2 linked regions of the Ovis aries genome follow. The protein of the gene in region 1 purifies or fractionates together with the protein of each later gene. This does not show direct contact. Links are inferred from orthologs where the notes say so. Each region holds a gene or a part of one and is shown on either strand. Other genes may lie near its edges.

What was found. Proteins that work in one complex are often made in the same cells at the same time.
Region 2: the proteins of RNPS1 (region 1) and SRSF11 purify together in Homo sapiens (co-immunoprecipitation; 4 studies listed by BioGRID and IntAct, with this or other methods). This does not show direct contact. The link is inferred for Ovis aries from reciprocal best matches to the Homo sapiens genes RNPS1 and SRSF11.

What each region holds. Positions count from the first base shown.
Region 1 is NC_056077.1:2,304,511-2,308,810, forward strand, and holds the start of RNPS1 (RNA-binding protein with serine-rich domain 1), read right to left. Parts: upstream 2,928-4,300; 5' UTR 2,870-2,927; coding exon of another isoform or gene 2,868-2,869; exon of another isoform or gene 2,475-2,867; intron 67-2,474; 5' UTR 1-66. UniProt on the Homo sapiens protein: Part of pre- and post-splicing multiprotein mRNP complexes. Auxiliary component of the splicing-dependent multiprotein exon junction complex (EJC) deposited at splice junction on mRNAs.
Region 2 is NC_056054.1:46,060,627-46,063,156, forward strand, and holds part of SRSF11 (serine/arginine-rich splicing factor 11), read left to right. Parts: intron 1-1,253; coding exon 1,254-1,370; intron 1,371-1,671; coding exon 1,672-1,810; intron 1,811-1,915; coding exon 1,916-2,113; 3' UTR 2,114-2,530. UniProt on the Homo sapiens protein: May function in pre-mRNA splicing.

The DNA.
Region 1 (4,300 bases):
CTCTCACGTCTAACTTGAGTCTGAGAAACGATCCCTAATCGATTGCAATTTACGCCAAAGTGCAGCCTAATAACAAGATAAAAGGATTCACAGAGTAAATTGGCAAGGCAACAAATCTACTTTGCAGTCAAAAGCTGAGCATAGGAGCAGGCAACAAGGAACACAGTCAGCAGTGTGCATCTACCAAGCCAGGAACACTTGGGCAGGGTCCATTTCCTCAGGGGATCCTGCCCCCACAGGAGACACGTGAAGAACTGTCGGCTCAGCTTGTCTTTTTCTTAAGCAATGGTGTGGGTGGTGGGGTCCTGTTCTTTGACAGGTAGTACAATGCCCGTTTCTCACCAGTTTTGCGGTAAGCCCTCTACAGTCCTTTAGAGACACTACAGGAGCACATTGGCAGGCAGAGCAAACCCTAAGTGACAGGATTCGACCTCGCTTCACTGCTGGAATCTTTGCAGGATACATTGGATAGATATTATGACTGGAAGCAAAAACCATTTCAAGTGACTGGTACCAGTATCAAAACATTTAATAACCAAACAAATGAAACGTCCCCCATGAACATTTAAAAAGTAGTAAAGTGAGACAAAACATAACAGAAATGTAACCTGTAGAATCTAGGTGGTGGTTCTGTGACTATTTGGTGCACTAAATTTTTTCAGCTTTTCTGTATGCTCCCATTTTTGGAAATGGATGCATTCACATGTAAGGGTTTAGCTAAGTTCCAGAGCTGCAGCATGTACTCAGTAAAAGGTCATCAGTAAACACTACTCAAGAACAAACTATTAATTCATTATGTGCTCTGTTTCCTGGGGCTGTTGCCTTTAAGTATTTCCAGTGAGGTTTTGCGCAATTTGCTTGAGTTGTAGAAGCAAAGATCTCGGGATGTTAGCCTCAACTACTCCTATCTCACCTTCCTGTAAGTAACCTGGACACAGCTCACCAATCGGAATCCTGTTTCCATGTGCGCAGTGCTGCCAAAATGCTGGATAAATTTCTGACTCAAGAAAGAGTGCCCAGCTGTGGACAAACAAATAAGAGTGCACTGTTCTTTTCCAGGGCTATAAAGTCTTTTTAGACATTATGTCTTAAAATGAGAGGGCATACACACAAAAATAAGCCAAAATTAAAAAAGAAAAAAGGCACCACAGACACTCAGTAAGGTGCCTGTAACACTAAGCAACATTGTAGCGGGCTTGCTTGGACAAATAGTGAGTATAATTCAGTGCTTACGAGTCTGAAGTTCCCCTGCTTGGGGTCTGATTCAAAGCTTTGTTGTGTCTTTGTATCAATCCCTTAATCATTCCGAGCCTCAATTTCTCATCAGCATTAAGGAGAGACAGACAGTTCCTACACTTCATAGCTGTCAAGAATATAAACAAAAGTAACCGATAAAAGAGTCTTGGGGACCTAGTTAAGGCTCAACAGATGTTAGCTAATATTAGGAGAAAGGCTTTGGAGGCTTTTCTGAGGCAAACTCTTGGCTCTTAAGTCACACAGCCTCTGAATGATCAGCAGGGGTCCCTGGACTGCCCCCATTACGATCACCAAGAGTAGCACTGTCCAATAGAAAGAGAGCCAGCTACAAGAGTACTCTAAAATTTTCTTGGAGCAACGTTCCAAAAAAGCATTAGTTAACAGATGAAGTTAACTTTGAGTAATGTATTTATCTGACACACTACACCCCACACATCATCTTTTCACCAATCAGCATACAAAATCATTAATAAAATATCCATGCTTCCCCATGCTAAGCGTGTTAAACACATCAATTTGAACTAGGTACATTTCAAGTACTCAGTAGCCACGTGTGGCCAGAGGCTACCTTATTACACAGCTGACCTAGAATACATATTCCAGGGCCCCACCCCAGTCCTAAAGATCTGCTCTTTGTAGTTTGTGAAAACAAGCACCAGCGTTTATTCTTAAAACTCAATTAAGACCAGAGTAAAGGAAGGCTTTTCTGGGTGTGGCCAGAGGGCTAGAAAGCAAAGGTTGATTATGTTTACACAAGTGCAGGTAACAGGACCGTGGTTACCTCCCCCATCCTCTGGAAAGGTGCGCGTCCAACAGCCAAAAATAGGAGAGAACAATTAGTCATATCTCGCGTACATGGCGTTTCAGCTCACATCTTCGGAGCACCTTCTCCATTTACAAGTACATTTCAGGCACAATTCATGAGAGATTGGAAAAGGCCACGCCTCTGCTCCGTCGATTTAACCTTTCCGTATCCTCTCTTTTGGGGTTACCGTCAAACTGGGCTCCAAGACATTAGGGGCCGTATCCCCAAGGGCTAGCACCGGGAACGACACACAGGAACCCCGCAGACGTTCGTGGAGTCGATGTTTGAAATTAATGGCTTCAAAGGGAGGGTCAGTCGGTCACCCAGGGGCTCCCAAAACGCATCTCGTACCCACCGGCCCCGGCCCCGGCCCCGCACGCGACCTCAGCACCCCGCGTCCGCGTTCACTCACAACTCCCCAGTCCAGGAGCCGGGCCGCGGGCGCTTCCAGGGCAGGGCCCGGCGTTGCGGGCCTGGGTTTCCAGCCCGGTGAGAGGGCCCGGACGGCGGAGGCCGAGTTCCCGGCCGCTCCGAATCCCGCGGGCCTCACTGGTCCCGCTGCAGAGCCGAGGAAACGAGGGCGCCCTTCCGCCCGCCGCGGCCCCGACCACTTCCGGGCCGCAGCTTCGGCGCCTCCCACTCAGCCCGCCCCGGGCCACATTCTTTCTTCTCAAACCCGGAGCGACGCCACAGGCCCCACCGTCACCACCACGTGGCCAAGGAGCAGGCCGGCTCCACGATGCGCCCCGCCGAACATGGCGGGCGGGTCCCAAAGCTCGGATGGGGTCGGATTCCCGGTACTTACATCTTCCCGCCGCCGCGACCTCCTCCCGCTCTTCTCAGCCTCAGAGGGCGGCGCGGCTCTGGCGTCAGGATTAGGGAGCGGGAAGGAGCGGTCGTCCGGCGCGCAGCGATGACGTCGAGCCCCTCGGCCAATGGGCGCGAGCGAGAGTGTTAAAGGGCCAAGGCCTGTTTAGGAAGAGACGCGTCGGGGCGCTTACTCTGGAGGGTCGACCGGGGCTCCCCCGGGCGGGCTGCACGCCTCGTGGGGCCATCAAGCTGGCAGCTCTCTGGGGCTGCGAGGGCTACTTCGTGAGAGCAGTTTGCTGGCTGGCGCGGAGAGGGTTAAGGCGGCCGCGGGCCCGCCCCTCTCCGTGCGCATGCGCACCGGGCGGGCTGCGGGCCTGGTGGCGTCCCAGGTCGCTGGGCTCCCGACCCGGCTGCTACGTGGAGGGTCCCGGGCGGCCCGGCGGCGGGGTTGGAGAAAGGGTGCACAGGTGCTGCACGCTCTGGCGGCTTGCCGTGGGCACCCGTAGGGCGGTGGTGGCTTCGCGAGCAGGGCAGTTGCGGGGATGGGTTCGTGCAGTTACCGCTCATGGCGTGAGGGGTGATGCTGCAGGCGCAGATTCTGTGCCGGCGGAATTGTACCAGGAGGACAAGGCAGCGGGTAGTGCAGCCAGAACGAGCGGGCTGCAGAAGGCAGGGTGGAAGACAGTGTGCAGAAGGGAACGCGCCTCCGAGGCGCTGACCCTGCCGCTGAGGCCTGCAGTAGAAGGGCATGTCCGGCAGAAGGAACAAATGGTGCGAAGGCTCCTTGGAAGAAACCGGGGCTAGGAAGGTGGAGTCTAGCGTTTGGAGGAACAGAGAACCTGTGCAACATACGGCGCCAAGGCTTCATCCTGCACTGTCAGAGCCTTCTGGCAAAGGCAGGAAGCTGAGAGTTAGAGGCCCAGGACCAGGCAGGAGGCTGTCGGAGTAAAACCCGGCGCTGAGGGGGCCAGGGCTTGCGGATGTGTTTACCGCTGTGTCCCTCCCCTCTCCGAGCAGCGCCTGGCAGGCAGTCAACGTTTCGTGACTGTTAGTAGGGGGAGCGGAGAAGGCAATGGCACCCCACTCCAGTACTCTTGCCTGGAAAATCCCATGGACGGAGGAGCCTGGTGGGCCGCAGTCCATGGGGTCGCTAAGAGTCAGACACGACTGAGCGACTTCACTTTCACTTTTCTCTTTCATGCATTGGAGAAGGAAATGGCAACCCACTCCAGTGTTCTTGCCTGGAGAATCCCAGGGACGGGGGAGCCTGGTGGGCTGCCGTCTATGGGGCTGCACAGAATCGCACATGACTGAAGCGACTTAGCAGCAGCAGCAATGGGGGGAGAGAAGGTGCGCTCCCACTCTTGATGGGCATGTGAACAGGTAGGTCCCACAAGGAAGAGAAAGGAACAGATTCAAGGCCCTCGT
Region 2 (2,530 bases), on another chromosome or scaffold:
TTTTTGGATATGGTATTAAAGAATGTTGTAATTTCTCTCCTTTACACGCAGCTGGTTTTTCTAGCACCACTTATTGAAGAGGCTGTCTTTTCTCCATTGTATATTCTAGCCTCCTGACCATAAGTGTGTGCCTTTATTTCTGGACTCTTACTCTGTTTCATTGATTGATGTGTCTGTTTTTGTGCCTGTACCGTACTGTTTTGATTACTATAGCTTTGTAATATAGTCTGAAGCCAGGGAATGTGATTCCTCCAGCTCTTGGTTCTTTCTGTCAAGATTGTTTTGGCTATTCAAGGTTGTTTTTGTTTCTATACAAATTTTAAAATTGTTCTAATTCTGCAGGAAGTGCCATTGGTATTTTGATATGGATTGCATTGAATCTTTAGATTACCTTGGGTGGTGTAGTCATTTTAACAGTATTGGTACTTCCAGTCCAAGAACACAGCAAAGCTTTCCATCTGTTTGTATTGTAGAAGCAGGAGTTTTTAAAAAGTCAATTTAAAGAGAAGGAGGTATATCTTAAAAAGCTAATTGCTCAAAATAGGGATTGGATTAGGGGCATGATTTGCTGGACAACAGGAAGTCAGTTTGATCCCCGTTTCCTGATGGCTCAGTGGTAAAGAATCAGCCTGCAGTTCAGGAGAGGTGTGTTTGATCCCTGGGTCGGGAGATCCCCTGGAGAAGGAAATGGCAACCCACATCAGTATTCTTGCCTGGGAAATCCCATGGATAGAGGAGCCTGGTGGGTTTACAGTCCTTGGGGTTGCAAAAGAGTCAGACATAACTTGGCAACTAAACCACCACCACCATTAACTCTAGTTCTCGGTTCTCTGTTTTACCTGATGATTTAGAAGTAGTTTTGAATTTCATTAGCAACTGCCTTCCATAACACAACACATTAATCCTTTACATGTTCTGTCCTTTGAATCTAAAGCTGGTTCTTTGAATAATAATTTACTTCAGACTTGAATTAGCACCTTTGTTGATCAGTTTTTCCTTGAGCTTAACATTTCTGATGTTTTGATGACATCATGTCTTTAAGAATTGCTAGAAATTAGGGCTTTCCTAAGGGCATTAAAGGAAAGGCACATAGTTTACCCCCAAAAAGTTGCCGACTTTTATTACCCATTTGCTTCTTCAGCTCCAAACAATATTTGAAAATGGAGTTTTCTGTTTCTATTGGAGTTCCATTGTAGACATTTCTGGTATGATGTGCCTGCATTTTTTGAATAACACTGTATTTTAAAGTCTAGTTTGCACATTTGTTCTTCTAGAGAGAGACGACGACGAAGAAGCAGAAGTGGTACAAGATCTCCTAAAAAGCCTAGGTCTCCCAAAAGAAAATTGTCTCGTTCACCATCCCCTAGAAGGTAAGTATTAATCTTTTATTAGATCTATCCTGTTTTTCAGAAACTGTCCTAGGATTTTTCTTCCTTCTCAGGAATTAAAATACTTAAGAATGTGCTGATACATTCTCTTCATGACTTGAGATTGTTAAAATAAACACTGTTTATGATTAGGCATTTTAGACCTGTAATCTCCTTATAGCAGTGAACTTAACATCAAGCTTACCATCTAAAACAAATTTAAACTTATTGCTGTTTAAATAATGGCAAAAATTCTTGAGCACTTTGTTTCAAGCATCTTGTGAGCATTTTACTGTCATCCTAGACATAAAAAGGAGAAGAAGAAAGATAAAGACAAAGAAAGAAGCAGAGATGAAAGAGAGCGATCCACAAGCAAGAAGAAGAAAAGTAAAGATAAGGAAAAGGAACGGGAAAGAAAATCAGAGAGTGATAAAGATGTAAAAGTATGTTTACAAACTAATATATTCTGGTGTTTTAGTTGATGTTGGTACTTTAAAGAAGTAATTTTTCTGTGAAGACGTTTACTTTTCTTATTCTCCTTGGCAAAGCAGGTTACACGGGACTACGATGAAGAGGAACAGGGGTATGACAGCGAGAAGGAGAAAAAGGAGGAGAAGAAACCAGCAGAACCAGGTTCTCCTAAAACAAAAGAATGTTCTGTGGAAAAGGGAACTGGTGATTCACTAAGAGAATCTAAAGTGAATGGGGATGATCATCATGAAGAAGACATGGATATGAGTGACTGAACCATGCCTCTGTGGGAATCTAACTGTGTACATGCATCAGTGTCATTCCTGTGTGATTTCTTAATGCTGTATTTGTTCATCTCAAACCTAGATGTATACAGCTCTGAGTCATAAATGGTTATAAAGCTCCTGATGTTGATATTAGTTATTTACATCCAAAAGCTTTTAGGAAAATGATACAGGGGTAACCAATTCGTGACAGGGTGAAATCTGATTGAGTAACCAAGCAGTTTTACTATCCTGGTGCTGCTTCATAACAAAAATGAAAAGCTGCATGCATCTACAGCAGGCATGGATTGTTTATGTTGTATGATCTCCTTTATTAAGTAAGTTCACTTATAGTATTTCTAGAATTTGATTCATTGCCGTAATAGAGCCATGTAGGGAATGCACTGATTGCATGTTTATTGTGGCAGG